Linked DNA regions of Arabidopsis thaliana. The protein of the gene in region 1 interacts with the protein of each later gene in a pairwise test. Each region holds a gene or a part of one and is shown in the gene's direction. Other genes may lie near its edges. The genes, in order: PYL7, HAI3, HAB1 and HAB2.

Region 1 (7,017 bases):
TGTCCTATTTTTCCTGTGAACTTGTCCAAATTTTGATGTGCATTAACGTTTGTTTATATTTTTGTAGGGGGTGAATGCTGTCTGGAACCAACTCATAACGGGGCTTATCGTGTTAAAATTACTGCTTATGCAACAAGACCCGTTGCGGAGATGCGGAGAGAGCTTGAAGAACTCTTAAGAGGAAAACCCATAAACCATCCAGGCTTCACACCTAGAGTCGTGCAGCATCTTATGTCCAGAGATGGTATTAATCTGATGCGGAAGATCCAACAGGAGACAGAAACTTACATTCTATTAGATAGGCACAATCTCACAGTACGCATTTGTGGAACAAGTGAGAAAATTGCCAAGGCAGAACAAGAACTGGTTCAGTCACTTATGGATTATCATGAGAGCAAGCAACTTGAAATCCACCTCCGAGGTCCTGAGATCCGTCCTGACCTCATGAAGGAAGTTGTGAAGCGGTTTGGTCCGGAGCTCCAAGGTATCAAAGAAAAGGTGCATGGTGTGGATCTCAAGCTCAATACCCGGTACCATGTTATTCAGGTTCATGGGAGCAAAGAAATGAGGCAGGAAGTACAAAAGATGGTCAATGAACTTGCACGAGAAAAGAGTGCACTGGGTGAAAAACCAGATGAGATTGAACTTGAATGCCCCATTTGCTTGTCTGAAGTTGATGATGGCTACTCTCTTGAAGGATGTTCACACCTCTTCTGCAAAGCTTGTTTGTTGGAGCAATTTGAGGCATCGATGAGAAACTTTGACGCATTCCCAATACTTTGTTCTCACATAGACTGTGGAGCTCCAATAGTAGTCGCTGATATGAGAGCCCTCTTATCACAAGAGAAGCTCGATGAACTCATCAGTGCATCCTTGTCCGCTTTTGTAACATCCAGTGATGGAAAGTTGAGGTTTTGCTCCACACCTGATTGCCCTTCCATCTACCGTGTAGCTGGACCTCAAGAATCCGGTGAGCCATTCATCTGTGGAGCATGTCACTCAGAAACATGCACAAGGTGTCACCTCGAGTATCACCCGTTAATCACTTGTGAAAGGTACAAAAAGTTCAAGGAGAATCCGGACTTGTCGCTTAAGGACTGGGCAAAAGGGAAGGACGTAAAGGAGTGTCCGATTTGCAAGTCGACGATAGAGAAGACTGATGGGTGTAACCATCTGCAGTGCCGGTGTGGAAAGCACATTTGTTGGACCTGCTTAGACGTCTTCACTCAGGCAGAACCTTGTTATGCCCATTTAAGGACAATTCATGGTGGAATCGGATTAGTCGAGTTAGGTGTCCCAGAGCACCCTGTTGCCCAGCCTGTTCACAGGCTTTGAAACCGGACTGGACCCATGTATCTATATCCTGTAACATCTGGTTTGCTTAATGTGTACATATATGTGAACATAGTGTAGTTCGGTATAGTACCTTCTTTAACCAATTGAATGAACCGATCATATTCTAATCCGGATGCCAAATAAACTAAAGATTGTTGTAAATGAAAGACTTGGGACTTGACTCGCTACATCACTGATTACGCGTAAATGTCTACAGAGAGTTTACTAAGTTGAAAGAAAACTACTTCCTAACATACAGAGACATCGCCATTAATGGCCTTAACTTAAGAGTCAAAAAAACATTTGATGGGCCTACCCTTAATTAAAAGCCCAATTCGATATTCGAATCGAACCCACCGGCCTAACTAAACTGTTCAGTGTCCCCAAATCTTTTTGCAACTTCTTTCTTCTTCATATTCTTCTCACCGTGAAGGCGTCGTCACCGCCGATGTTATTATCTCCGGCGATGTTTTCTGATCATCACTGCTTTACTCTTACTGCGAGGTTGGTTATTTTCAAATCTTCTTCTCTCCGTTCTTTCTTTCGAAGTCAGAAACTTTGCCGCCATTTTCAGTAAAAGGGTTGATTCTACATTCCCTAGAATCATCTAATAACTAGGGTTTTCATTAGGTTACGTATTGGTTAAAATTAGTTGAAATCATGTTTCTTATTTCTCTTTTCGAACTAAATTTGGTAATCAGATCTCTAGAGTGTATGATTTGTCATAACATCTAATCGAAATTAGAATCCGTATATGTTTCATTCAGAGAATAAATCCTGACTTGTTAATTTGATATAGAATGTCAGATTCTGATGAAGCTAAAACGTCGGAGGAAGAATCTCAACTTGCTGAGCAAGAAACAGAGACTCAAGAAGGTGAAATGACTAAAAACTTAAAGAAAAGAGATCTTGATGCAGTAGAAGATGAAGATTCGAATAACGAAAGCTCCAGATTAGAGAAACTAGAGAAGAAGATAAAAAAAGAAACAGCGAGGAAGCTTGAAACTGACTTTGTGCTAACAGGGGAAGAGGATGATGATGCATTGCCCTTAGCCTGTTCCATTTGCCAAAACCCATTCTTGGATCCTGTTGTCACCAACTGCAACCATTACTTCTGCGACAAGTGTGCTCTAAAGGTAATCTTTTCCTTACAACAAGTTTCGTAATTTCTGAAAACACACTCAAAACAGATTTTCCTTGTTATTTTTTTTCATAATGCAGCATCACACTGAGAACGATACTTGTTTTGTGTGTAACGAGCCAACTCTAGGGCTTTTCGACACAGCCGTGGAGATCAAGGAAAGAATAGAGGAAGAACGTGAGAAAGCCAGAGGTTTGTTAAAAACGCAAAACTCTCTGTTTTGACACCAAAAACCTACTCTTACAAAACTCGCTCGGTGATGTCTCTTTGTAGCCATGGTAAAGGAAGTGACAGCAATGTTAGAAAAGGCATCGACAATGGCGGATGACGCCAAGGGCGTAGCGCAAAAGGTTGTAAAAATGGTGGAGGAGATTGAAACAATGGTGGAAAAAGTGGCGGCTATGGCCACAAAGGCGGGAGAAACGGCGACAATGGCGGCAGATATGGTGAAAGAAGCTGAGGAGACGATGGAAACAGCTAAAGCTAATATGTCCAAAGCCTTTGTGGTAATGAAGTCGGTGAATTGGAACGTGTAAATCGGGTCAAAACAGAGTTTTATTGTGATCTCATGCTGACATCAGCTACAATCTTTATCTAATAAGATAGATTCTCACAAGATTCTTTTATCTATCTACTTTTTAGAGAAGATGAGATCATACTTCGGAGATAGATAGGTGTCGTAAAAATTGGGAAGCTTACTTGGCAGGAGAAGAGAGATATACACACGTGCTTAAAGTCAACAGCTAATCCAAAAAGGTAGACGACAAACCAGTTAAACTAAGACACGTAATCTATCTTAAAGATTTGTCGGTTCATCGTAAATCCGTTGGTGGATTAATATATGTCGGTGTCTTCGTTGATTTTCTTAGCCTAACCAACCAAACATAAATAAAAATCGAAGCTTTACTTTGTTTGCTTCTATTATATCCACTTCCAACAAGATTCCTCAAAAGGAAAGAAGAGAAAGAAGATAAGAGATATCTGGTTGGTCGGAGATGGAGATGATCGGAGGAGACGATACAGATACAGAGATGTACGGAGCTCTAGTGACGGCACAGTCCTTAAGGTTGCGTCATCTTCACCACTGCAGAGAGAACCAGTGTACCTCTGTTCTCGTCAAATACATTCAAGCTCCTGTTCATCTTGTACGCTCTTCTATTCTCTCATCCTCTGTTTTTCTTTCTCTGTTTTCTTTATGTACTTTGTTGAAGTTAATTCTGTCTGATTCACCGGGAAAATGAAATTTCGCCGGATTTAGGGTTCCCGATCTTTCTATTTTTGTTTGCAAATTCTCGTTTTTTTTTTAGTTTACTTGTTGGTCTCTCTTAGTCTTAAAGCTAAGGATAGTGAATATACATATATGATTCAGGTTTGGTCACTGGTGCGGAGATTTGATCAGCCGCAGAAATACAAACCATTTATAAGCAGATGCACTGTAAATGGTGATCCTGAGATCGGTTGTCTCAGAGAAGTAAATGTCAAATCTGGTCTTCCAGCAACCACCAGTACAGAGAGATTGGAACAGCTTGATGATGAAGAACACATCCTCGGTATCAACATCATTGGTGGTGATCATAGACTTAAGGTGACTAAATCCAAATCTCATAGTATTCAGAAACATTAGCGGTTGCTATAATGGTTATTGTTTTCTGCAGAATTACTCTTCGATCTTGACTGTGCATCCGGAGATGATTGATGGAAGGTCAGGAACTATGGTGATGGAGTCTTTTGTTGTGGATGTTCCTCAAGGCAACACCAAAGATGATACATGTTACTTCGTGGAATCACTCATAAAGTGTAACCTCAAATCCTTGGCTTGTGTCTCTGAAAGATTGGCTGCTCAAGACATTACCAATTCCATCGCAACTTTCTGTAACGCTTCCAATGGATACAGAGAGAAGAATCATACAGAAACCAACCTTTGAAGATTTGGCTAGATTAGTCCCACGAACAAACTCAGTGAAGGAAATTTAGATTCATAGAAGCACGTGTGATCATGCTTCTCTGCTGCTTTACTCAGATCAGCTCCATGGGCCATTTTCGAGCATGCAGTCAAAGTTTTGATGTAATTTGTTTTCTGGTGTTTGTTGGACAGTGTCTGTATTTACGCACCATTGTTAGAAAAAACAGAGCTAGGTAGTATCTATATTATCACCAAGAGTCGTTGCAGGAACATTTTCCGTCTCTGAAATGATGAACCCTTGCCCCTTCTTGTAAAACAATCTCACGGTTTCTCAAAACCGACATGTATTTGGCTACGGTGTGGCTATCAGAACATATATTCGTGTTTTTGACCACTCTTATAGGAGCTAAGCCTTTCTTCTTGATAAGGCCATACGTCATTGCTAACTTCTCTGTATGTCCCATAAGCAGCTTCTCTTTCTCTGAATCACTTATGTCTTGGTGTATACAGCTTGTGTCTGGCACATAACCTGATTTCTTCATCTCAGAGACTAATTTGTACAGCTCAAAGTATATATCTCCTTCATCAGGATGTGTTTTTCCCTCCGCATAGAAGATGTGAACCGTTTGATCTATCTGAATCCAGCTCCACAGATCCTGGACTCTCACCCTGTTATTCCTCATTAAGTTCCGTATACGTTCAACATCTTCCCATCTGTTCAAATTACTGTACAAGTTTATCATCATCATGTAGTTAGCTGAATTGTGTGGTTCTAGTACTTGAAGCCTCTTCCAAGCGATTTCCGCGAGTTCTAGGTCTCTATGAATCTTACAAGATGAAAGAAAAGCACCCCAAATAGTTGCATCGGGTTTTAATGACATTGTTTGAATGAAGTCCCAGGCTTCATCAAGATAACCCGATCTCCCGAGCAGATCTACCATGCAAGAGCAGTGTTCGATGGTCGGGATTATACCATAACGAGACCTCATAAGATCAAAGTATTTCCACCCTTCTTGGACAAGACCTGAGTTCTTACAGACAGACAAGACAGAGGTAAACGTTATAGCATCTGGTTCCATGCCCGCTTCAAGCATCACACTGAAAGCCGCGATCCCTTCTTCGCCTCGCCCAAACATGGCATAACCCATGAGCATACAGTTCCAAGAAGCTAGCGATTTGTTCTTAATGCCCCAGAAAATCTCAATCGCACTTTGCAGATCCCCTGATTTTCCATACATATCTACTAGTGCAGTTGCAACATATGCATCGCAGATCAAATTTTTCCTCAAACAGAAACCGTGAACCTCTTTGCCACTGTGTAGTAGACTTAAGCAACCTAATATCTTAAGCAAGGTGGACATAGTTGCTGCGTTCGGACCAACACCTTCTTCCTGCATTTTAATGAAAACTTTGAGAGCATTCCTGAAGTTTCCATTTTTGGAACATCCTGAAAAAATGGCTGTCCATGAAACCACGTTAGGGGCCACACCTTTCTCCTTCATCTTCCCTATCACATCTAATGCCTTCTCAGGTTTCCCCAAAGTCGCATACCCAGAAGCAAGACTGTTCCATGTAATAGCATCAGGTTTGATCCCTTCCTTCTCCATTCTAATCATCAAAGCTTCAGCATCCTTTAGAAGACAAGCGTACGAAAGTCCCGAGACGAGTGAATTCCAAGCAACAATGTTCTTCGCATCCATCATATCAAAAACCATCCGGGCGTAAGGCAAGTAGCCAGTTTTAATATACATGTCGATCAAGGTGGTTTCTACATACACATCGTACCAAAGCTGATTTCTTAATATGTATCCGTGGATCGCTTTCCCAAGTTTAAGATGCCCCGGTTCAGCTACAGCTTGAAGAAGACTACTAATTGAGCTCGTGCTTGGCTTCAGACCAGCAATTTGCATTCTCTTCAATACAGCAATGGCATCTTTGGATAAGCCTTTAGAAGCATAACCTGACAAAAGAGAGTTCCATGTCACTATATCTGGCTTCAGACCACATATCTCCATCTCGTCCAGGAGACCGATAGCATCATCTACATAACCAAGTTTCGTATAACTCGATAAAATCGAGTTCCACGAAGACAAATTCCGGTCTTTCATCGAGTTAAAAACTTTCCTGGATAATTCAAGCTTGCCATTCCTCGAATACATGACAATCAAAGAGTTACACATAGACACATTTGATTCAAGCCCGAGTCTCAGAACATACCCATGAATCTGTCTCCCTTCTGCAAAACCTTCCTTATTGCTACAAACTTGCAAAAGCTTAACCATTGTGCTATCATAAGCTTTAGCACCAGAAAACTGCATCTCTCTGAAAAGTTCCACAGCCTTTTCCCAATTCCCACTCCGCAAGTTTACCATTACGATCTCGTTCCATGCAAGATCATCTCTTTTAGGCATTTCATCGAATAACTTGTTAGCAAAACCCAAACTCACACATCTTCCATAAAAACCCATCGACGCAGAAACCACTCGTGTGTCTGAATTATCAAGCCCTCTCTTGATCAAACCACCATGGATAGTTAAACCCAGAAACCGATACATTAGAACAGCACAAATTCTCAAAACCATAGCGAGAACTACTTCATCAAAATTTACTCCTTTGTTCTGTAGCTGAACAAATTCCT
Region 2 (7,283 bases), on another chromosome or scaffold:
CTATGAATCAGCTAGGAAGAAACTTAGCGTGCGAGTGGGCAAGTGACAACATAAGGACTAACTCTGTGTGTCCATGGTTCATAGAAACTCCTTTAGTTACCGAAGTAAGTAAGGCAACAAATATGAAAGTTCTAAGCTATATACATTGTTACTTCTCAATTTTAATTTTAATTAAGTAAAATTGAAAATCTCTCAGAGTCTTAGTAATGAGGAGTTTAGAAAAGAAGTGGAGAGTAGACCACCAATGGGACGTGTTGGAGAAGTAAATGAAGTATCATCGCTTGTGGCATTTCTTTGTCTTCCTGCAGCTTCTTATATTACAGGTCAAACCATTTGTGTTGATGGAGGTTTCACTGTTAATGGTTTCTCTTTCAAGCCTCTGCCTTAAGACGTCGATTGTTTTCATTTTACGTTATTTTTTTAACATTTACAATTTGTTTAGATATGTAAACATAAACACAATTACACAAACAAACAAAAAAAATTGGCGTTTGGAATGTAATCCAACTCTCCACAATATATGCATGCTTTGTGTTTTAACCGATCAAGTATACTAATTTTTTTTTAATTATAGTATAATTTGTTACTACGAAGCCACCAACGTTCTTACATTCTCAAGACATTGATAAGTTATAACCTGCGGTCCTAAATCACCCACCAAAGGGGAGAGATGAATTGATAAATTAAGACGAGATGTGTTGAATGTTGATAGAGCTAGCTGCCTATCTCTCCATACATGCCTTCTAAGGCTTCCTCACAAACCATAAGTAATTTGGTCGTTTTGACGCTAGATGTTTGTTTGTTGTCCCATATATCAAAGTCAGGTGCTCACATTTTTATTTGTTGTATCTCAATATGAAAATGATTGTATAGAAAATGAAGAAACGAAGGCTAAGTGTGCCTTTTTTATTATTTAAATAGTTTGTATATGACTTCAAAATATATCCAAACACAGATACTTTGGAATTTATAATGACAGTTGACATCTAAAAAAACCTGTAAATTGGAAGGTTTAAGCATATGTCTAATTATTATTTATCCTTTTCGTTTTTTATATTGTACATTCATTTTTTACCACTCTCAAATATGAACTTTGTATTTAGTTCTAATAAAATTATGAAGTTTTAAATACTCAACCGACTGGACTGGTACAACCAACCATCCAATAATGATGTCGAATCCGATATTTTGTCCCCATTTACAACACACTTGCATGGTTACGTGTGATATTATAATATGTATAAACGGTCTATAATTTTTCCTATACCGAGTTACAAATAAGAATCTCCATGAATAGATATCTGCTCTGTGGCTGATAACCAAAAATGGCAAAGAGAGGGGAAAGCTTGAGAGACAAACCTAAATGGAGTCTTGAAGGCATGACTGCTCTTGTTACCGGTGGATCTAAAGGCCTCGGGTCAGTCCCAATTTTTCTACCTTAATTACTTACTTCCCTATAATTTCAGTACCGAAACTGAGCTCTGATTTCAATCATGTATAGACTTTCGTTTTATTTGTTAATACGGCTCAATCATAGACTTATGTGGATCTTTTGATAGTATTTCTATGTTTAATCAAATCAACCCCTGAAAAGATCAAAGGCTTAATGATATGTATAAATTCATATTGATGTATAAATAGAAAAGCTGTGGTGGAGGAACTAGCCATGTTGGGAGCAAGAGTTCACACATGTGCCAGAGACGAAACTCAGCTTCAAGAAAGCTTACGTGAATGGCAAGCAAAAGGGTTACAAGTCACCACTTCTGTTTGCGATGTTTCTTCTCGTGACCAGCGAGAGAAACTCATGGAAACTGTTTCCTCTCTCTTCCAAGGAAAACTCAGCATCCTCGTAAGTGTGTGTGTGTATATATATAAGCTTCTCCTCCTCCTCGTCTATGAGCTTGGATCGACAATGACCAAAATCATGTTGAATTTTGTTTGCTTCGTTTGTATAGGTACCCAATGTGGGAATAGGTGTACTAAAGCCGACGACTGAGTGTACAGCAGAAGAGTTCTCATTTATAATAGCTACAAATCTGGAGTCAACTTTCCATTTCTCGCAACTCGCGCATCCTTTATTGAAAGCCTCTGGTTCAGGGAACATTGTGCTCATGTCTTCCGTGGCTGGAGTTGTAAATTTGGGTAATACATCAATCTATGGAGCAACCAAAGGTATAATTATACGCATACTCGAACAATTTATGATTCTTTGCTTCTATCGCGACTTAAATAAATGTATACGCATTCTAGGAGCCATGAATCAGCTGGCGAGAAATTTAGCATGCGAGTGGGCGAGTGATAATATAAGGGCTAATTCTGTTTGTCCATGGTTCATTACAACTCCGTCAACTAAAGATGTAAGACAATGAATAAGAAAATACATTTCATTTATAGTATGAAAAAATGGTTTAACTATTTCTTACGAAGTTTATGTGAAAATGTTTCAGTTCCTCGGTGATAAAGATGTAAAAGAAAAGGTGGAGAGTGTGACACCATTGAGACGTGTTGGAGAGGCAAATGAAGTATCATCGCTTGTTGCATTTCTATGTCTTCCCGCAGCTTCTTATATAACAGGTCAAACCATTTGCGTTGATGGAGGTTTCACTATTAACGGCTTCTCTTTGCCTTAAACACGTATATATGCATATATTCATGCTTAAATTTATGTGATTAATTAGTGGTTTCACTGCATATTAATTCATACAAGTTTTATATGTAACTTATGTTGAGGGAGCTCACTCCGTTCATGCCTTCTAATGTTTGGACGAAGAACTCAATCTTTTATCTTATCGGATAAGAAGTTACTTGTGTTCACATTTGATGTTTGTTCGTTTCCAATCGTATTGTGACTTTTGATATATAAAATAATTATTGTATATATTCTACTTATGATATATGATTATATAGTCATGTAATGATGACCGTACGATTTTCAACTCTAGTATCCCTATCTTTAGGGGGTTATGGCTAAAAGCCTAAAAAGATTACTTTTGCTAAAGGAGTAAAGATTATGTTCATAATTTTTTTTAATTTATATAAATTTATTATTATTATTCTCACGCATAACACAAAACAAAGAAAGAATTATCTTCATAATTATATATATATATATATATATATTTGATATAAATTTATTATTATTATTATTCTCACGCATAGCACAAAACAAGTTTCTTCTATATATCAACTAAACTAAAAGACATGTCGTTGGAAACATACTCATATATCATATTCAAGGACTCATAATAATAGACATGTAAACAAAATATTCCTTAAATTTTCTAAATTCAAAAACAAACTATATATGTAACTTGTTATTTAATCTTCTTGGGTATATAAAACTTTATCGCATTTCTTGGATATTTGGACGATGAGAATTCAAATTGCTTTGTCGATGATAAATTTGTTTAATAATTGTTCAGACTGCCATCACAACATAGCTGATTACTGTCATATAAGTCATACATATTATATTTCCGATGATTCTCTGGACTCTCAAGACAATAATAATAAAAATTCAGATATAAGTTTATTAAGGTTTTCTTTGTTAACGTGTTTACTGTCTAGGGACAAACATAAATTATTAGCACTAAACTTGTTAGGTTTTGAAAGTAAACACTGATTTATACCTAAACTTAGGTTATTCATGTAATCAAATGTGAAAACTAACGTAATGAAATTCCTCTAGTTATTTAAATACAGAAAACAAAACCTACCTTGCGGGGAAAAGCATCGTGGCGCGAAAGGAAACTTCCTATGATCCGTCATCCGTGCCGTCTCAATTTGATTGGACCACGAATCTCGCACTCGATACTGACGCCTTACGTGGATTACTTTTTTTATAGAAAGAATTTAAAATTGTTTCTGAAGAGGCAGGTTTTGTGTATAAAATAGAGAATGCAAGTAACGTGTAATGACATTATTTCTCAAATTGAATGGTTTTCGAGCATTTTTATTAACCAGTGAAGCAACCAAAACAGGAATCACCAGTTCTTGAAAGAGTTCATCAAAAAAGAAAACATTTCTTGAAACATCTAAGAAAGAGTTTTGTTCTTCTTGATCAGAAATACAGAGCAAAATCCATTTGAAGACATCAAAGTTTAAGGTTTTTTTCCCCGGATATGGCCGAGATATGTTACGAAGTAGTGACCGACGCATGTCCGTCGTCGGTTTATGAATCAACGCCGGCACATTCACGGCGGAGGCCGAGATTCCAAACGGTGATGCATGAAGATTGGGAGAAGAATTGTAAGCGTAGTAAACAGGAGGCTTTAGCTACGAGATACTCTTCAATTCCTCGAAGCTCTCGGGAGGATTTCTCTGACCAAAATGTCGACGTATCCAGTCCAAGATACGGTGTTTCTTCGGTGTGCGGTAGAAGAAGAGAGATGGAAGATGCGGTGGCAATTCATCCTTCATTTTCTTCTCCGAAGAATTCGGAATTTCCTCAACACTACTTTGGTGTGTATGACGGCCATGGTTGTTCCCACGTACGACTCCGTTACCATGCATTCTTACGTTTTCCGAAATTCTATGTTTTCAGTTTTAGCTGATACGAAATCTTTTTTTTTTCCTTAGGTTGCAGCAAGGTGTAGAGAGAGGCTTCACAAGCTGGTGCAAGAAGAACTAAGTTCAGATATGGAAGATGAAGAAGAATGGAAAACGACGATGGAGCGTAGCTTCACACGCATGGATAAGGAAGTTGTATCGTGGGGTGATTCCGTCGTGACTGCAAATTGCAAGTGTGATCTACAAACACCGGCTTGTGATTCCGTCGGATCAACCGCTGTTGTCTCAGTCATTACGCCAGATAAGATCGTTGTCGCCAATTGTGGCGATTCCAGAGCAGTTCTCTGCCGCAATGGGAAACCAGTCCCTTTATCAACCGATCACAAGGTCAGTTCCGTTCAAAACATGTTCAGTTTCATTTAAGCAATGATTGGATTTGTGGATTAACTTGGAGATTGTGTTCTTTGTAATGAAACACAGCCTGATCGGCCAGACGAATTGGATCGAATCGAAGGAGCTGGTGGACGAGTCATATATTGGGACTGTCCAAGAGTTCTCGGAGTCTTAGCAATGTCACGAGCAATAGGAGACAACTATTTGAAACCTTACGTGAGTTGCGAGCCGGAGGTAACCATAACGGACAGGAGAGACGATGACTGCCTCATACTAGCTAGTGATGGTTTATGGGATGTTGTGTCAAACGAGACCGCCTGCTCTGTAGCGCGTATGTGTCTCCGTGGTGGTGGGAGAAGACAAGATAATGAGGATCCGGCGATTTCGGACAAGGCTTGTACGGAAGCGTCAGTATTGCTAACAAAGCTGGCGTTGGCAAGGAACAGTAGTGACAACGTCAGTGTCGTTGTGATTGATCTCAGAAGATAAGGACACGTAAGTGGACACTAGTCGAAGAGGAAGACAATTTTGCTTTAACTTTCTATATCAGTTTTGCTTTTTGGTTATTCTTGGAATACGTTGGTTGTATACAAAATTAACCCGATTTTATGGAAACCCCGAAAAAGGGTTAATTAATAGAAATGATAAGAATTATTCTTGTCAACCCTAATCCTGTTTCGTGTATGCTTATAATCTTAAATCAAATCAAATTAAGAAGGTCGACATGTAAAAGCATTTTGCTTTAAAAAAGATTGTCAGACTATACTATACCTTTTACTTTTAGGCATTAAGATACTTTAAGAGGTACTTAGTCTCTGCCGCTAGGCAAAGACATGAGAGTAGATCATAGGTTCTAAATGCAATTATGAGTATTAGCAGTATCTAAAGAATAAGAAAAACAGTAAGCAGTAGTAACAACAAGTCCAATAGAAACGAGGTCACGTATAAATTTCAACATCGAATCGACTTCAGACTAGCAGCTTTGATTGTACAACCCAAATTGTAGCAAATAATGATGTTCTTATGACTAAAGTTGAGGAAATGGTAGAGACAAAACAAAAGAAAGAAGGTTTTTTGAGAACAAGACCTCTCTCGGGAATCGAATTTCACGTTTGTTTGTTGTCAGGTTTCTTTTAGGGCCTTAAGTTTTCTGTAACCTTTATCGGTGCCAAAGATCCTGAAGTAACATAGATAAACATATTTACATGTTTATTATAGTTATGACTTCTGTTAAAGTAAGAAACAGAGTTCAATAATTTACCAGTCCATGTAAACAAACGTTGATGAGTAGTTGCCAGACTTTGTGTAGAGTAATCGATGATGGTAGTCATGGAAGTCAGCACTGTAAGCAAATGATTCCCACATTAATATTAAAGATCTGTTAGGTTTAAGGTGTTGCTCTTTCAAGGCAATCACAGGTTAGAAGTCTTATCTTACCCGCCGTATAGAGGAAGAAAATTCGAGGGGCTCCATGGGAAATGATAACCACAATGTGCCTCAACTGTCTCAATAACTCTGAGCATCATCCATAACCAAAGGGTGATCAGGTGAGGCCCGGTGAGAGCCGGACCAACAATGGTAGCAAAACCAAGGAACAGAATTTCAGCGGGATGAGCATATTCTGATGTCAAACCAAACGGTGTCGCGTACCTGTATATAAGTAATACCATAAGATTGTTTATTGAGGACCATGAGTGAACTAACATTGTCAAGCACAAAAAAGATGGTGAGTACTGATAGCTTACTCATGATGCACACTGTGCACGTTCTTGTAGAGCCATTTAGTATGCAAGATCCTGTGACCCCAATAGAATACAAAATCCTCAATGATGAAGTAGAATAAGATCTGGGCAGACACCACTTTCCTGCAAGAGCGTCACCAGATATAGTTTCATAAACCAGATCAAACATAATGCAGGTTCTTCTCATGCAGCTCAACACTGACATTTTATATATATTGCCCATTGGAAGAGTTTAACATCAGAACCCAAAGGCAAAAAAAGCTTTCAGCACTAAAGAACCTGATAATACCAGGACGGCAGAGGAAAACTGCTTTCCATGCCCATGAATCTGAATACAGGATACGACGCCATCATGAGGGGCAAGTTTACGCAGCAATGGTAAAGTAATAGTCGAGCAATGCATTTTCCCTGGGCTTCAGGAGTATTACTTTTGGTCTGCAAAAGACCAAACAAGAGTACTTGATAAATCTAGAAGACAAGCTAAACCAGTTATCACTTTGACATTACCATTGGGGAAATGAGAACACTGACAACTTGGTGATATCTTTCCATTCAGTTTATATTTGAACAGACACACAAAGCTATTAGTTAGAAGACCACTGAATCATGAGAAGAAAAGACAAACCTGAATTTTGTAGT
Region 3 (8,977 bases), on another chromosome or scaffold:
GGTTTCTTGGGACTACATAATGTAATATCTAATGATTATTATTCACAACAATTGTCATCAACATGGAAGATAACAGTATCTTACGTTTTCTTTTTGGTTTGTAGTGTCTTTGTCCTTGTTAAACTGCTTCAATTCCAGTCTCAGTCTCCTCACCTCTGCTTCAAGATTTTGATTCTGTCAAAAAGGATAGACCATATCAAATCATGTTGACATTCTGCAAATCCAGGACCAAATTTATGTTCCTGAAAAGCTTTACCTGTTGTTCCACGTAATTTCCGACAAGTGGACTTTCCTGTGCATCAGTATGAAAACCAAGAAGGAAATGTCAGAACACTGAGAAACTGAACATTTATAAGAAAGTGACGATATACTACTAACCGTGGAAGTTGAAGAGATCGAGCTTCCGATGGTAGTGGAACTATCAGAGACGGTGTAAGAACTCACAGTTGATACCATATCACAACTTCCATTGTCAGTCTCTGACTGAGAGATTTCACTCATAGATTGCGGTGTTGAGATGCGAGGTGAATTAGGTTGGAAAAAATTTGAATTTGGTTTGTTGGTTTGTGTAGATACAGGTGATGATATTGATGCGCTGTAAAAAATGTAAACAAAATGAAAAGGCATACTTCACTAAATCCTGTTGAAAAGAAAACCATGGCCAATGGTTAGAAGAGAGTTGAGATTACCTGTCAGAGTCAATGGAGTTTGTTGAGTTGTACAACAAAGAAGAGAGATTTTGTTGTCTGGAAAGTTTATGACGGTGACTCGCGGATCTGCTTTTTAAAAGCTTACCTTTGGTCACAACAAAGACGGCACAAGTCTCTGGAGTCGTCTTAAGCAGAGTGGTTGGTACATCTGGACTCTGAAACTTTCTGATCACAAAGAAAAATTGAATGTTAGCATTTTGTATAACCAAAGTTGAGATGATACCAAGCATGAAACAGAGAAGAGGAGAGAGACTTAAGGAAGGAATTGCGTGCAGATGCGCCAACAACAAGATTTGCAATGTAATAATTGTTGGTGATGTAGTTGACAATAGCATTGGAGATGTCAATATCATGAAGAATAACCTCTTTTGCTATGATCTGAAAAGTGTGTATATACAAGAATGTCATGATCATATTTGATGCATTATAAGTGTGAAATGTTGTTGCAAGGAGATTGGAAATGATCGATTAATACTAACTCCTTTTCGAGCGCAGAATCCTCTGAAAGGAAGAAAGAATTCATGTGCCTCGTCCGGATTGTCCTGATGAAAATGTCCTCCTGTGTCTCCTACTGCAAAACATACTCCTAATTAGGGTGGCTCTTTGACGTTTTGGTTTCAATGATGAAGAGAAGAGCGAGAGATGCTTACGTTGAACGTGGATAAGGACACATTGTGGAGCATCAGCAACAATATTTTCAACGGCCCATTTCAAGGCGTGTTGGCTGTTCTTGTCCTTATCAATGGCGATCGCCGTGATACTGCCATAGTCCTCCGAGGTCCTTCTAACTCTTCTTGCAGACATGTTAGAATCTTGCTTCCCAAGAAACATGAATAACCTGCTTCACAAGGAAACTATAATACTCATAAATGATCTCATGTCTTCTTTGTCACAAAACACCCACAACCAAGATCGATTGTGTTGTTTTTCTTTTGTCTGGCTTTGCAACCTCAGAGAAGAAACAATGAACAATGAAAAGAAACAGAAAATTGTATTGTGAGATGATGAAGCTTTTAGTGGTTTTACAATTTTTCTAATTTTGGAGGGTTTATTTCTCAAACAACTCAACAGTCTTGTGAAACAAACAAACAAGAATGGAAATTTCCACAAGTCTCAACTTATCTTTAATTAGAGAGTGATTTTTGGGAAGTTGCTGGTGAGATCTAGTTTGTACTATAATGTACGCGTTTCGATTAAAATAAAATTCGATTATACATTATCAAAATATTAAATCGATTATTTTATCTTAATCAGTAAAACAAAGTTTTTAGATAAAAATATTAGTAAAACTAGTCAAACATATGGTTTAGTCTTTTAGGTTTATATAGACTAGAGGTTGAACCAAAAAAGAGAGTAAAATAGACTAGAGAATAGAATGTTATGTTTAAACATGATCACACATCTCAATTTACACACATTTACTTAATTTGAGTTTCGATAATAATGCAACAGCAATATATGTATCTACGAATTTGAAATTTATGAGTACAAAATCTAGAGGTGTAACAAAATATTTATTATTTTCGTCCCTGATCAATCAGAGTAGCCACGTGGGCGGGTGGTAGAAATCGAAATTATTGCGATTATTGACTTGGAAAAAAACAAACACACGTTGCATTTTTTGATTTACGTATCCAAAAAGAACAAAGAAAAAAAGGTAAACGACCAAATAATATAATTTTCTGGGGCTGTCGTCTTCCATCTTTATTTCTTCTTGGCGATATCACCATATCTTATACGTCTCTCGAAAGATTATTACTCTTAAGACGATTCCATTAAACACTGATTGTGAGAACTTGTACTTTAACGTTATCGAAAAGTATACATAAATATTTTTATTTTTTTAGGCTGATTCATTCTTACTGATAACAATAATTTTGTGTTATTCTTTCTTACCTAGAGAGTTCTATAGACAAGTTCGTAACTATAAAACCAATCTTTATTTCTTACTCATAGCTTTCAAAACTAAAACTTGATCAGTTTAAATAAAATATATGGGAAATTTTTGCTGAACCAATATATTACGTGTCAAGATTTCATTGATCCTATTAATACAATTTATTCATTTTACAGTTATATCAAATACAAATTACAACTAAGATACTCACTTATCTACACGTCAGATTGTACAACTAAGATACTCACTTATCTATATCTAATTTTCGTGGTTAATATTACATGTCAAAATTTTATGGAAATAATTAGTGTTTTTCTACTTTATATAAATTTTTATGATATATTTTTTTTTTAAAAAAAGGAAAGAGAAAGAAATCAATTTCCATTTGTAAACATATTTTTGGTTCTGAAAATAAATAAATGGGAAAAAAAGGAATTAAATAACATCTGTTGTTGTTAGCTGATCGACAGGTGTTGCCTGAAGCGACCTTAAAAAAAGAAAAAGGACAAAAAGTTGAAGAAAAAAAGAGGACAAAGTTCACAAAATGATACAAAGACTAATACGTGTCCTTTTATTAATCCTCTTTTGTAATAAATACTCTTTTTTCCTATAAATTATATTACAAAACCAAAGAAAAAAAGGAATAAAAAAAAACAGAGAGAAAAAGCAAACCACACAATATTCTCTTCTCTCTCTCTTTGTTTCGCTGATAGAGAGAGCCTCTCTCTAAGCAATTTAGCTCGAGCGAGAAATAATCCTGAGGGAAGAAAATAAAAAGAAGAAGAAGAAGAAGAACATCTTTACTTTTGTTCTCTCTCTCTCTTCTGTTCGATTTTAATTTTTTTGCAGATGCGAATATCTTCTAAAGATTCATCAACTGGTTAGTTCTTTCTCTCTTCTTTTTTCTTTCCTGATTTTTTTATGTTGTTTTTCTGTGTAGTTAGCTTTTCAATCGGAAGATTTTTGCTATTATGTGTCGAATCTCTCTTGTTGTTTTGAGCTTTGTGTTTAGTTTTGCTTAAGAACAAAGTTTAAATTCATCTTTCTATTTCTGGGTAAAGCTAAAGCTTCTTTTTTAATTTAGATCCAAGGAAACCCATGTTCTACTATATGATTATGGACGTTAATGGTTCGAATTTTTTAGGGCTTTCTTGTGATTGATTTCGCTGATTTTCCCTCCTTTTTCTGGTTTTTGTGTGAATTTTCTTTGACATGACCGTTTGGATAATGATTCGTGAGTTTTTGATTAGTGCTTTGTGATCTCTCAATAGGGTTGAAATCAAGATAAGGATTTGAGAAAAGATCGACGAAGTTGTTGCGATTTTGGGATCAAGAGAGTGATATAATCGAGTGAGGAGAATTCGTCGTATAGATTCGTCAGATCTGGTTATCTCCGGTACTTAATTCTCCTTGATTCGTCGTTTTAACTATGCTAAGTTAGTGTATGAATAAAGCGGCATTTGGGTCGCTGACAAAAACTTATTTGGAGCAAGGATTCTTCAACATCATGAAACCATTGCTTAGAGTATTCGAAGAAGAAGATGAAAACAATTGATTTCTCCTAAGTCCATCTTTGAAATTTAAAGCTTTGTTGTGGTGTGGTGTGGAAATCTCTGATTTTGGAGAGCTCATGGAGGAGATGACTCCCGCAGTTGCAATGACTCTTAGCTTAGCAGCCAACACCATGTGTGAATCATCACCTGTCGAGATCACTCAGCTAAAGAACGTTACTGATGCAGCTGACTTGTTATCTGATTCTGAAAATCAAAGCTTTTGCAACGGAGGGACTGAATGCACTATGGAAGATGTTTCTGAACTGGAAGAGGTAGGTGAACAGGATTTGTTGAAAACTTTATCCGATACGAGAAGCGGGTCTTCCAATGTTTTTGATGAAGACGATGTATTGTCTGTTGTGGAGGATAATAGTGCTGTCATAAGTGAGGGCTTGTTAGTTGTTGATGCAGGCTCTGAATTAAGCTTGTCTAATACAGCTATGGAAATAGATAACGGGCGAGTTCTTGCAACCGCGATTATCGTAGGCGAATCAAGCATTGAGCAGGTTCCCACCGCGGAAGTTCTTATCGCGGGTGTAAATCAGGATACCAATACTTCGGAGGTTGTCATTAGATTGCCAGATGAAAATAGTAATCATCTGGTGAAAGGGAGAAGTGTTTATGAACTAGATTGTATACCGCTTTGGGGCACGGTTTCCATTCAAGGGAATAGATCTGAGATGGAGGATGCTTTTGCCGTGTCACCTCATTTTCTGAAACTACCCATCAAAATGCTTATGGGGGACCATGAGGGTATGAGTCCAAGCCTCACACACCTCACCGGTCATTTTTTCGGTGTTTATGATGGTCATGGAGGCCATAAGGTATGCTATATTCACATTTTATGTAAGTTGTTTTAGCAATGTAGATTGTTATACACCTCTTTGAGATGTTCTGGTTAAATTCATAGATTTTAAATCTACAATGGCTTGTAGGTTGCTGACTATTGCCGAGATAGACTCCATTTTGCTTTGGCTGAAGAAATAGAACGTATAAAAGACGAATTATGCAAGAGGAATACAGGAGAGGGTAGGCAGGTGCAGTGGGATAAAGTCTTCACGAGTTGTTTTCTAACTGTCGATGGTGAGATTGAAGGAAAAATTGGTAGAGCCGTTGTTGGTTCTTCTGATAAGGTTCTTGAGGCTGTTGCGTCTGAGACCGTAGGATCAACTGCTGTTGTTGCCTTGGTTTGCTCATCACATATAGTAGTTTCTAACTGCGGTGATTCGAGGGCGGTTTTATTCCGTGGCAAAGAAGCCATGCCCTTGTCAGTTGATCACAAAGTAAAATGAACTTCCTTTTCTTTCCCCAATCTAACTTACAAAGTTGATAAAAGTGTTTTCTTACCTCCTTCCATTTTTCTGCAGCCAGATAGAGAGGATGAATATGCAAGAATAGAAAATGCTGGAGGCAAAGTTATACAATGGCAAGGCGCACGTGTTTTTGGTGTTCTCGCCATGTCTAGGTCCATCGGTAAGCATTGCTTCTTTTGATGACCAGTAATGCACATCACACAAACGTGGCTTGATAATGTAATTACTCCCCTACATGAAACATTAGATCCTCCGGTTTCTTTCCTCCTCTGGAACTATGCAGGTGACAGATATCTGAAGCCATATGTGATCCCAGAACCGGAAGTGACATTCATGCCTCGGTCAAGAGAAGACGAGTGTCTCATACTAGCCAGTGACGGTCTTTGGGATGTAATGAACAACCAAGAAGTCTGCGAAATAGCAAGGAGACGGATATTGATGTGGCACAAGAAGAACGGTGCACCGCCTCTAGCAGAGAGAGGCAAAGGAATAGATCCAGCTTGCCAAGCCGCAGCTGACTACCTCTCAATGCTTGCTCTACAAAAAGGAAGTAAAGACAACATCTCCATCATTGTGATTGACTTGAAAGCTCAAAGAAAGTTCAAGACCAGAACCTGAAGCTTAATTACAAGCAGTACGCTTACTTACTTTTTTTTTTACTGGGGGTAAGTTTCGAGTTTTCGTATAATTTAGATCGTTAAGGATCTAATTTCGACAGGTTTTTACATGTTAATTACTCAATATTGTTAGAAGGGAGAAAAAATAAAGAAAAAAAATGGAAATGCGGGTTGGGGAGGAGAAGTAAAGACTAAAGACTGAAGATTAAGAAGATGATGCATAGCTAATTATAAGTACATTCCTTTTTTTCTCATGGTACTTGAATTCGTATGTATAAGAAGAAATAGGCAGAGAAATGCTTTTTTTTTTTGGGGTATTGAAATAGTTGAATATGTTGTAATAGTTTGAGAGATGTGGCAAATGAAATTGTAATTGAAACTATGTCACATTAACCTTCTTGCATTTGTCTTTTCATGTTGTGTTCTTCGCTGTTCTATAACTTAACGGTGAGATGAGAGTTTATTGGGGGTTTAACCACAGGTCGATTTTTATTTTGATGTTAAGTATTGATAAAGCAATACACTTAGCAAAAGGTGGACGTGCCGGAGTGGTTATCGGGCATGACTAGAAATCATGTGGGCTTTGCCCGCGCAGGTTCGAATCCTGCCGTTCACGTTTTTCATTTTTTTTTCTGTTATCATCACATTTTCCATAACTTACCTTAATCATCTAACATTTTAGAGTCTTTACGAAATGTTAATATTTCTTTTCTTAAATTGAGTAGAAATAGAAATCAACCTCATACCTACAAATGTGGAAGTGACGTGTGAAACCGTAAGTGTATTTAAATCAAACTTAGAAAGCTGTTAATCATTGGCACCACATAAAATCTAGCTTGTGAGAGAAAGTTTATCGTTTTTAGATAAGTTATCAAGATAACAAGACTTGATTAGATTATAGTATGTTGCCTTTGACGGTTTGGCCTGGCCATTTGTAAAAGCCACGACAACACCGGCTCTCATATAATTATTAAAAGACTAATTAGTAATCACGGCCTCAGCTTCACATAGAAAACGTGTTTATTAACACGTTAGACATATGATTCCGTTGAACAATTTTGATTATTTGACGTACCAATCTGTATTTGCTTCATGTAATCCAGCTGTATTAGTAGGCCTTTCTTTGTATTTCCCATTTCCAACTTTCACAAGCAAATACCACCATTTTCCAGCTTGTCTAACAAGTTATTAAAATAAAAATAAAAAATTCCCCCAAAAAAATCATGTGTCAATTGAACCTTCTCTTAGGCATGACCGTATGACCAAAGTTTGGTTCGGATTTTAAAAGATCAAGATTTGACAATTCTATAAAAAAAAAATTTGGGTGTAAATGTCATTTGTCTAGAGTATGGTTAAGATACTAGAACCTTTTTCTTTACAAGTTCAAAATTCAGAATTAAAAAAATGTAAGATTTTCAGAGTTTGTGGACATCAAATTATCAGGTAATATGGATAGTTTGTGAAAATTGCAATATCTATCTATACAACTAATCATTGTGAAACATACATTTAGGACTAGGGAGTTAGATACTGTTGTGTTGCCGAGACTCAAACTCAAGAACTGGTCAGATGTACCGAGTAAAGTTGTATATAGTCAACTAGTACATATTTGAACATTATACAATTAATTCAGATATCCTCTACGTAAAATGCGCAATGTATTTTCATGTAATAAATAAATATATATGCAAATTGATGAATTTGACATAGATATTCAACTAAATACGTCAATTATCCGATTGCTTGTCTCCTATAAAAAATCTCTAAAATACTCCAAAGACATATTTTTTGTTGTAAAAAATGTGTAAATTAAAGTAAGAATCCACAGAAAGAAAAAAAAACAAATAAAAATGACCAAATCCAAGTCCCCAAGCATTTTAAAAAACAAATATCAATCCAAGCAAAAGCATAAAAGCAAACACATTACAGCATCGTAAGCCAACCACTCTTAAACTAAAAGTTGTCTTTCTAATCAAAAGCCAAATAATAGAAAGAGTATGGAAGAAGATGATGGAGACGCGTCTACGCCGTTTTGGCTTCAATCACGCCGCAATAACACTTACTTCCGCCGCACTGCAAGTCTCGGTGGCCGTACAACCACCATCGCCACTCAAATATTCTTCGCCGGAACAGCTGCAATCCTCATAGTCGTCTTCATTATCCCTCCTTTCTTCTCCTCTGTTTCTCAGATTTTCCGACCTCATTTAGTCCGTAAAAGCTGGGATTATCTCAACTTCGTTCTCGTCCTTTTCGCCGTCCTTTGCGGCTTCCTCAGCCGCAACACCAATAATGACGAATCCAATCATCACAAAGAAGAAGACATTCGTAACAAATTCTCGACTTCACCATCGATTATTGATCGAAGAAGTCGTGTATCTAACAGTGGTACAACGCCGCGTTATTGGAACGATGATCGCGGTGGTGGCGGCGGTGATCAAACGGTGTACAAGAGGTTTAGTAGATTACGAAGTGTTAGCTCGTATCCAGATCTGAGGCTCCGGGAATACGAAGCCGATGAACGGTGGAGATTCTACGATGATACACGTGTAAGTCAATGCCGTTATGAAGATGTAGATCCGATCTATCCAAATCAAAGTTACAGAAACTGGCATGAGGAAGGTAAACCACCGCCGGAAGATGTAGATCAAACAGAGGACGGTGATAATGGAGAAGGAAGTAAGGTCCGTAACGGCGGTTCGGAAACTGAGAAAGTTGAGGTGGTTGCGACGGCGGAAGCTGAAGTAGTAGAAGAGCTAAAAGTGCCTTCTGCTCCGCCGTATATTCCGTCTCCTCCGCCGTCTCCGCCACGTCCTCCACCAGCGAAGCAAGCGAAGAGAAAGACTAATAGAGTGTACCAAGATGTTTCTCCACAGGAAGAGAAGAAAGA
Region 4 (8,760 bases), on another chromosome or scaffold:
TGAAGGAAAAGAAGTCCTGTAGCAATCTCAGCAGCGATTCTGAACCGTGCTCTCCAAGATAGTGGTGGAGTATTATCTTTGCAAAAGAGACGATCTTCTAATGTTCCATTTTCCATGTACTCATACACCAGGCAGCCATATTCGGGACAAGCACCGAGGAGGATCACCATGTTAGGGTGCCTCATGCAACTTAGAACCTCGATCTAGTGAGGAGACACATATGTTAATTAGTATGGAGAGGACATGCAATACATTAGGATAATGTCGGATTATATTATTACCTCTTGGTTAAACTGCTTCAGGCCTTGTGAGACATCTGACTTCAAGAGTTTGATGGCAACAGAAGTGTTTTCAAGAACGGCTTTATACACAGGTCCATACCCTCCTTCCCCAATCTTTAGAGCATCTGAAAAACCGTCGGTAGCACCTTCAACATCTCTGATGCTATATCGTCTGTAGGAAATACTATCGGCCATATTCTGTTCCTTGAACCTGGCTTGCATCTCCACAAGTCGTCTCTTCTGGGTCTCTATTTCCGCTAGACGTTGTGCCACTTCAGTTGCTTGGATCGCAGTCTGTGTTTTTTGCTTGTCCATCTCAGACAATGCCCTAAGCATCTCTCTTGCTGCCTTTGCTTCCTCCAGCCTTTCAGTTTCGGCGGTAGCTCTAGGTCCTAGAAGATGAGGGGCCTACAAGCATTCATTCAATGTCTGATATTAGTCACTCATCTTTGGGACCTGTTCAAGGAAACATTCTCGGTTGTGCTCATGGAAGTAAGTATCTTACACTTTCTCTGGACATGGAAGCATTAAACTGCTGCAATTCGAATCTCAATCTTCTCACTTCTGCTTCAAGATTTTGATTCTGATCATAGTCATGCACAAAGAACACAAACATCTCAGAATCATGCATCTGACACTCAGCATAACCGAAACACTATATCTACTTTTCTGAAACATTAATTTTACCTGGTGTTCAGTGATATTGCCCCCAGATAAGCTTTCCTCTCCATCAGTTATCTCAGACTACAGATTCGAAAAAAAAATGTCAACGCCAGGCAAATAGGTGGTAAGAATATCGATTTGAAACGTGATGGGAATACTAACCATGGAAGAGTGTGAGCTTCCTCCATATGTGGATCGTCCTAGGATGCTGTAGAAGCTAGCATTTGATTCAGCACTGTGATCGCTGGGAAATTCATTACTAAGCTCTGACATAGAACTCCTATACAAAGATGGCTTGTAATGAGGTGTAGGTGGAGATAATTCTCCGTTCAATGCAGGAGATGACCTGCAAGATTGGCAAACCCAATGACTACTATGAAGCAAAAAAGGCATTCATTCACAAGACAACCGGATAAAATTTGAGTTCATTAATTACCTTCCGGATTCACTGGAAGTGGAACTTGTTGGGCCAGGATCAGACATCATTGAGGGATGTTTTGAAGGATGAGGAGGGTGTTGAGGAGCTTGAGGTGTCTGAGGACCTTGAGGCGTGTGAGGACCTTGAGGTGTCTGAGGCCGACTCGCTGATCTGCTTGTTAAGAGCTTCCCTTTAGACACAATGAAGACAGCACATGTATCTGGTGTTGTTTTAAGCAGAGTCGTTGGCACATCTACGCTCTTAAACTTCCTGATTAAGACCATAAATCACAGAGAGTTATAGGATTTAGCATTCAGATTAAGATTACAGTTTAGGTTATATGAGAGAAAGAAAGAGACTTGAGGAAAGAATTTCGAGCAGAGGCTCCAATGACTATATTTGAAATGGAATTGTTGGTGATGTAGTCAACAATTGCACTCGAGATGTCAATATCGTGAAGAAGAACCTCCGTTGCTATAATCTGAGAGAAAATATATAATTAATGAGGTCGGTGAGAGCTATGTGTATATATATATATATATGTGATTGTTGTAAGGAGAAAGAGAGGTTGATATCTGACCCCTTTCCGAGCACAGAATCCTCTAAAGGGAAGGAAGAACTGATGCGCCTCTTCTTGGTTGTCATGTGGTGCTTCTGTGTTTTCTCCTGCCCCAAATCCTGTTTCAAGAGTTTTCATTAGATTGATGGATTGATAACAATGATGATGATGATGATGATGCCATTACGTACTCAGTTTGGTTTGAACATGGAGAAGGATACAGTTTGGAGAATCGATGATGATATTCTCAACAGCCCATTTCAAAGCGTGTTGGCTGTTCTTATCTTTATCAATGGCTATGGCGGTAACTGCTTTGCTGTCTTTTCCTTTGAGTCTTCTTGCAGCCATTGTTTCTCAGCCCTCGAGATGATTGCTGGAAACTTTTGCTTCTGGAGAAACTAGAAAGACATTGTGGTACGGTCTTTCAATTACCCTCAGAAGGAGGAAATAAGGAGACCGAATGATAATGAAAATGATAACAAGGAATTAAGAAGAGAAGAGGAGAGGAGAGCTGTTTTGTTTGTTGAGAAAATTTAAACTTATAATGGTTTTGGCACTTTGCTAAAATTAGAAGGTTTTTCTTTTCTCCAACAATCTAAACAGTCATAACGAACAGAGAGGCAGACAAAAAGAGGATTTTTTTAATTTTAGTTGACGACTTATCTTTAAAGGATATTCCATATCATATCTTGTAGACAAAAAGAGGATTTTTTATTTTTAGATTTGTGTAATGGCATCTTATATTGATATATATGTAAACTAGATAAATTTGGAATTATAGGCAGTCTTGATCTTTTAGAAGAAAGAAGAAGACCATGAGGAAATCCAAAGGTTGAAATTAGTTTTATAATTGTTTCGACGAACGTGTTAAATATCTTGGGGTAACCTGTTTGGTTTTGAAAGGGCAAAAGGGTTTGAGTTTGAAGGACTTTGTCTTTTGTGTGTGATTCATGTCGCTGATGAGGAGGACCTTTGATATTTCAAAGAAACCATATGGAGTATATAATATATAGCTAATAATGATTTTCGTATAACAAACAGCCGTGTACAAGCGAGTGTGGAATTTAATAATAGTTGTGGACGCTACAATGGAAGTGGAATAGAGGATCATGGGCGAGTTCTTGCTACGTCCATTATCCTGAATGATGATGCGGTTCCCACAACACAAGTCCTTATTACTACAAGTCATCATGATAATGTAGCAAAGAGGAAGGAGGTGGAGTGTCTATGAGCTAGAGTGTATACCTCTTTGGGGCACTGTGTCAATCTGCGGTGAAATGGAGGATGCTGTTAGAGCTTTATCTCATTTTTCAAACTACCTATCAGAATGCTTATGTGTGATCATGAAGGGATAATAAGTCCAACGCTCACATGTCTCACTAGTCACTTCTTCGGAATTTATGATGGCCACAGAAGAAGCAGACCTGTTTCTGGTTCTGTTTCTTCTGATGATAGGATGGTTCTTCAGGCTGTTTCCCCTGAGACCGTCGGATCAACTGCTGTTGTTGCTTTGGTTTGCTCATCACATATCATAGTTTCCAACTGTGGTGGTTCAAGAGTGGTTTTACTCCGCGGCAAAGAATCCATGCCTTTATCAGTTGATCAGAAAGTATAAAAGCTGAGACAGAGCTAATGAAGTTTCTTACCTTAATGTAAACAAGTGGACGCTAGAGCCCATATAAGTGACGCTGACTGGGCCTTAATGTAGGCCCATTTCAAACTTTGGTCTCCGAGAAAAGTCTTTCGTTGTCTATTTTTTAACCACGTTATGATAACACTACATGTGTCATGAGATGCATGAACATATGTCATGAACATACTTTCAATCTTGGATCAAAAAACTAAATTAGAAGAATAAACAGAAGACTTGACCTTTAAGAGGGAAGGACACGCGTCATCTATGTTGCCATTATTGAATAGATTAATAAATTAGTTTTATAATTGATTGGAGCAACGTGTTAATAATGAAGGTCGTTGTCACATAAAGAAACTTGGGATTCCGTGGAGTGCTTATAATTTTTCTAATTTTATTTTTTGGGTAAAAACCTCATTAGATCCAGGAGAACCCATGTTTCGTTTCGTTTTGGAAAGATAAGAGAGATAAAGGTTTCGACTTTTTTAGGTTTTTCTGTGTGTTTTGTGATTCATTTCGCTGATTGATATCAATTCTCTCTGTTTGTTGTCCCTTCTCTTCAATTTCACCTGACTTTTGTTTTTGTTTTGGATAAAGTTTTCACCTTTGTGTCTTCTCTCTGCTCTCTTGTGTGATCTATCTGAAAAAGGCTGATTTTTTTTTTGTGGGTTTCTAAATTAGGGTTTGTGTGAGTTTATTGTCTTTCTGATTCGATGAAGATCAAGAGTTATAGAGGATCGTTAGAGTGATCAAAATCCCACGAATTCACAAAGGATCCGTCTTCATAGATCCGTCAGATCTGTTCAGCGGAGGTACATACTTCTTCGTCATTCACTGCTTTCTGGATTAGTTGGTGAGAATAAACGGCTGGTGGGTCTCGGTGGGAAGCTGAATTGGATGTAGAGTTCATCAGACTATAGCTTAGAGAAGAAAATGAAGTTTTTTGAATCGTTTTGCTCCAGTTGAGGTTTGGAAGCTGCATACCAGCTCATGGAAGAGATTTCACCTGCAGTTGCACTTACTTTGGGTTTAGCTAATACGATGTGTGACTCTGGAATCTCATCTACTTTCGATATCTCCGAGCTGGAGAATGTTACTGATGCAGCTGACATGTTGTGTAATCAGAAAAGACAAAGATATAGTAATGGAGTGGTGGATTGTATTATGGGAAGTGTTTCAGAAGAGAAGACTTTATCTGAAGTGAGAAGTTTGTCTTCTGATTTTAGTGTAACTGTCCAGGAATCAGAAGAAGATGAGCCATTAGTATCTGATGCGACTATTATTAGCGAAGGTTTAATAGTTGTGGACGCTAGGTCTGAGATAAGTTTGCCAGATACAGTTGAAACTGATAACGGGCGAGTTCTTGCTACGGCCATTATCCTAAACGAGACAACCATAGAACAGGTTCCCACTGCAGAAGTCCTTATTGCGAGTCTGAATCACGATGTGAATATGGAGGTGGCAACTTCTGAGGTAGTCATTAGGTTACCTGAAGAAAATCCTAATGTAGCAAGAGGAAGCAGGAGTGTTTATGAACTAGAGTGTATACCTCTTTGGGGCACGATTTCAATTTGCGGTGGAAGATCTGAAATGGAGGATGCTGTTAGAGCTTTACCTCATTTTCTCAAAATACCCATCAAAATGCTTATGGGGGATCATGAAGGGATGAGTCCAAGTCTCCCATATCTCACTAGTCACTTCTTTGGTGTATATGATGGCCACGGAGGCGCTCAGGTATGCTGTAGTTCGTAAATCCTTATACTGATTTTAGCAGTAGAAAGTTAATTCAACTATGAACCCGGAAGATACATGAGTTTATGTTTTGTTGACGTAGGTTGTATGTATATATGATAAAGGGTTTGCTGGAAACGGGATTCTTTGCAGGTTGTTATGTAATATATGACGGCTTTGGTGGAAATCGGATTCTTGCAGGTTGCTGACTATTGCCATGATAGAATCCACTCTGCTTTGGCTGAAGAAATCGAACGGATTAAAGAGGAATTGTGTAGGAGGAACACTGGCGAGGGTAGGCAGGTCCAGTGGGAGAAAGTCTTTGTAGATTGTTACCTAAAAGTCGATGATGAGGTTAAAGGGAAAATCAACAGACCTGTTGTTGGTTCTTCTGATAGGATGGTTCTTGAAGCTGTTTCCCCTGAAACCGTTGGATCGACTGCTGTGGTTGCTTTGGTTTGTTCATCGCATATAATAGTCTCAAACTGTGGTGACTCAAGAGCAGTTTTACTCCGAGGCAAAGACTCCATGCCTTTATCAGTTGATCACAAAGTAAAAAATCTTCTCTTTCCCTCTAAAATAATTTAACACAATCTGAGAAAGTTTCTTATTTCTAATTCATGAAATTTCTTACCCTTTCTCTGCAGCCAGATAGAGAGGATGAGTATGCACGAATAGAGAAAGCTGGAGGAAAAGTTATACAATGGCAAGGCGCTCGTGTTTCTGGCGTTCTTGCCATGTCCAGGTCCATCGGTAGGTCAAACTTGCACTTATGTCTTCCATCTTGCCTAGTGACAGAAATATGAAGAGAGTTTTATAGGTCAAAATTATCGATAAATTAAACATTCAGTAACCTTATTTAGAGATGAGGATCATTACTACCTGTTACAGTCTCTGCAAAATCATGAGATCTCCTGAAAGTGGGTTTCAATCTGCATCGTTTTCAGGTGATCAATATCTGGAGCCATTTGTAATACCAGATCCCGAAGTGACGTTTATGCCACGAGCTAGAGAAGACGAGTGTCTAATATTGGCCAGTGATGGACTTTGGGACGTAATGAGTAACCAAGAAGCTTGCGATTTTGCGAGGAGGCGGATCTTGGCTTGGCACAAGAAGAATGGAGCATTGCCTTTAGCTGAGAGAGGTGTAGGAGAAGACCAAGCGTGTCAAGCTGCGGCTGAATATCTCTCCAAACTCGCTATTCAAATGGGAAGCAAAGACAATATCTCAATCATAGTGATCGACTTGAAAGCTCAAAGAAAGTTCAAGACCAGATCTTGAAACAGTGTATGCTCGAGCTCTTACACTATTATAATTTTATTATTTCTTATTTATTGAAAAAATTTCCACAAGTTTACATAAAAATAAGAAGTGAAATGTTGGGGGGAAGAAGAATTAAGACCTTGATGCATAGCTGAAGTCCATTCCTTTTTCTCATGGACTTGAATGTGTATGTTTGTTATGTATAAGAAGAATAGAGAAGAAATGTTTTTACTTTGGAGTCTTGTAGGTGGATATGTTGTTGTAATATTGGAGATGTGGCTTAAGGAATTGTAACTGAAATTTATGTCACATTCACCTTAATACTTTTCTGTAATCTATTATATATAAATACTTGTTGTGAAAGAGTTATTATTGTCTTTTCTATTGTTATTGTTATACAACAGGTAATATTGATTCCAAAGTGTTTAATGAGGGATGCTGTATCAAACATGAAAACTAAGTGAAGGGTTTGGAGAAGGATGGTTGTTTAAAGCTATTTCCCCTGCTTTTTTTACTAAGAGAGTAGAGTTTAACAATTAAAAGAAACCTAAATAAGAGATCATAATTGGTACGTTAAGGTTTCATAATTCATTAGAATTAACAAAAATAATGAGTTGGATAGTTGAAGAATCAACAGAAACCCAAGTGATGAATGGATCAAAGAGAGTCACATAAAGGAGATCATAACTGATGTTTTAGTGTGGTGTATTGTCTCAAACAATGTGCTGAGCCAAAGAAAGGATCTTGAGCTGTTTCCTGAGGCGCATCTCGTGCGGGACAGGACCAAACACTCGGGTACCAGTCGGTTGGTTGTACTCCATTTTCCTCTTGGAACCATGTGAATTATTCTGCCCTTTCTTTTCCTTAATGCCAACAACTACAATGGCATTGTCATCAAACTTGACTTGGCTTCCATCAGCACGTCCTTTAGGCATCGCAGCACGCACAACCACACCGTACACGACCATCCCTTTCTTCACTTTACCTTTTGGGATAGCGTCTTTCTTTACTTTTTTTTGAACAATTGGGTTAGCTTCTTTCACTGAACCAACAATGATATCGCCAAGTCTTGCTCCTTTCTTACCTCTCAGGGATTGAATGCACATCACCTCTTTAGCACACGAGTTATCCACGCATTTGAGAATCGTCCCCATTTGAATGAATGTCCTATGTTGTTGCTGTGAATTGGAAATCATCAGGACACACAATTCACAGGTTATACCCCACGAATGCATATGAAGAAAGTTTCATCAAGGACGTATATTTGCGAAAAGAGGCTTGACCTGAGAGAGGATGCTTCCATTCATCATTCCATTGGAGGAGGAATTCATCAAACCAGAGAAAGCATTGCAAAGACCTCCAAGCAATGAACGTCCTACTCATATTGTCGATGAATCATATAACGACATCACCAACAATTAGTGACATTCACAACAAGAACAAAAAAGTTTTAATCTTGAGTCTGCATTTCATGAACCAAAGCAAAGTCCATGACATATCACAAACCCAAAAACTCAAAGCTCATTTCGAAACTTATACTAAATCAATGTTGCAAAAAATCTAATTTTTAAAGAACCAAACTTTATCGAATATAATAATATTAAGAGATGAAAATGTACCTTTGGAGAGCTTGGAAGCTAAAGCTGTCGCCATTTCTGCAATTCAAAAGTTTCGATCTTTAGTGTCGCAGAGAGTGAATGAATCTTGCGATTGCACAAAGACACCAGATTTAGGGTTTAACGTCACACACTCGCTGTCGCAGCGATCATTTGGGCTTGTAATGATTTTACTCATGGATTAAATTATATAGTAAAAAAGTGGTGACGTTGTCAAAAGTAGGCGTGCCGGAGTGGTTATCGGGCATGACTAGAAATCATGTGGGCTTTGCCCGCGCAGGTTCGAATCCTGCCGCCTACGTTTTTCCTTTTTTTTCGTATTTACCTTATTTTCCTACATTTTAAAACCAGGGGCCATAACATTTTTTCCACATGTACTATAACATTTGTTTATCACAAAATCTGAAATTCTTAATTAACAAAAATAAACAATGGTGATGCCCTAATAACAAACATTTCTTTCTTCTTTTTTTTTGCTACGAACTTTTTACTTTTGTTGATTGTTCATGCATTTACAAAGACAAAATCCAAAGTTTCTTAATGTTATGAAAAATTCCTAAATCAAGAAGTTAAACGGCTGAGAAGAGGTTGATCA

The links.
Region 2: the proteins of PYL7 (region 1) and HAI3 interact in binary tests that used the Arabidopsis thaliana proteins (3 or more experiments, as listed by UniProt).
Region 3: the proteins of PYL7 (region 1) and HAB1 interact in binary tests that used the Arabidopsis thaliana proteins (3 or more experiments, as listed by UniProt).
Region 4: the proteins of PYL7 (region 1) and HAB2 interact in binary tests that used the Arabidopsis thaliana proteins (3 or more experiments, as listed by UniProt).

The regions. Positions count from the first base shown.
Region 1 is NC_003075.7:443,709-450,725, forward strand, and holds PYL7 (PYR1-like 7), read left to right. Parts: upstream 1-3,269; 5' UTR 3,270-3,471; coding exon 3,472-3,621; exon of another isoform or gene 3,622-3,845; coding exon 3,846-4,061; intron 4,062-4,131; coding exon 4,132-4,401; 3' UTR 4,402-4,627; downstream 4,628-7,017. Other genes in the region: AT4G01020 (helicase domain-containing protein / IBR domain-containing protein / zinc finger protein-like protein), read left to right, coding at 68-1,335; AT4G01023 (RING/U-box superfamily protein), read left to right, coding at 1,784-1,839, 2,135-2,471, 2,557-2,668, 2,750-3,012; AT4G01030 (pentatricopeptide (PPR) repeat-containing protein), read right to left, coding at 4,628-6,934. UniProt on the Arabidopsis thaliana protein: Receptor for abscisic acid (ABA) required for ABA-mediated responses such as stomatal closure and germination inhibition. Inhibits the activity of group-A protein phosphatases type 2C (PP2Cs) when activated by ABA.
Region 2 is NC_003071.7:12,604,734-12,612,016, forward strand, and holds HAI3 (highly ABA-induced PP2C protein 3), read left to right. Parts: upstream 1-3,941; 5' UTR 3,942-4,121; coding exon 4,122-4,490; intron 4,491-4,578; coding exon 4,579-4,896; intron 4,897-4,989; coding exon 4,990-5,391; 3' UTR 5,392-5,617; downstream 5,618-7,283. Other genes in the region: AT2G29360 (NAD(P)-binding Rossmann-fold superfamily protein), read left to right, coding at 1-104, 197-388; AT2G29370 (NAD(P)-binding Rossmann-fold superfamily protein), read left to right, coding at 1,326-1,417, 1,642-1,849, 1,956-2,172, 2,251-2,357, 2,448-2,630; SMO2-2 (sterol 4-alpha-methyl-oxidase 2-2), read right to left, coding at 6,025-6,079, 6,164-6,280, 6,340-6,552, 6,648-6,767, 6,934-7,079, 7,270-7,283.
Region 3 is NC_003070.9:27,386,761-27,395,737, forward strand, and holds HAB1 (HYPERSENSITIVE TO ABA1), read left to right. Parts: upstream 1-3,187; 5' UTR 3,188-3,487; intron 3,488-3,878; 5' UTR 3,879-4,237; coding exon 4,238-4,984; intron 4,985-5,095; coding exon 5,096-5,443; intron 5,444-5,527; coding exon 5,528-5,633; coding exon of another isoform or gene 5,634-5,653; exon of another isoform or gene 5,654-5,756; coding exon 5,757-6,091; 3' UTR 6,092-6,567; downstream 6,568-8,977. Other genes in the region: AT1G72760 (Protein kinase superfamily protein), read right to left, coding at 1-12, 85-174, 257-292, 379-595, 690-875, 964-1,088, 1,190-1,281, 1,361-1,541; AT1G72790 (hydroxyproline-rich glycoprotein family protein), read left to right, coding at 8,088-8,977. UniProt on the Arabidopsis thaliana protein: Key component and repressor of the abscisic acid (ABA) signaling pathway that regulates numerous ABA responses, such as stomatal closure, seed germination and inhibition of vegetative growth. Confers enhanced sensitivity to drought.
Region 4 is NC_003070.9:6,030,373-6,039,132, forward strand, and holds HAB2 (homology to ABI2), read left to right. Parts: upstream 1-3,897; 5' UTR 3,898-4,544; coding exon 4,545-5,288; intron 5,289-5,486; coding exon 5,487-5,837; intron 5,838-5,932; coding exon 5,933-6,038; intron 6,039-6,232; coding exon 6,233-6,567; 3' UTR 6,568-7,026; downstream 7,027-8,760. Other genes in the region: AT1G17540 (kinase with adenine nucleotide alpha hydrolases-like domain-containing protein), read right to left, coding at 1-203, 282-689, 787-864, 969-1,025, 1,107-1,290, 1,381-1,632, 1,722-1,843, 1,943-2,040 and 1 more; AT1G17545 (Protein phosphatase 2C family protein), read left to right, coding at 2,737-2,752, 2,935-3,137, 3,216-3,536; HLL (Ribosomal protein L14p/L23e family protein), read right to left, coding at 7,263-7,727, 7,833-7,924, 8,169-8,202. UniProt on the Arabidopsis thaliana protein: Key component and repressor of the abscisic acid (ABA) signaling pathway that regulates numerous ABA responses, such as stomatal closure, seed germination and inhibition of vegetative growth.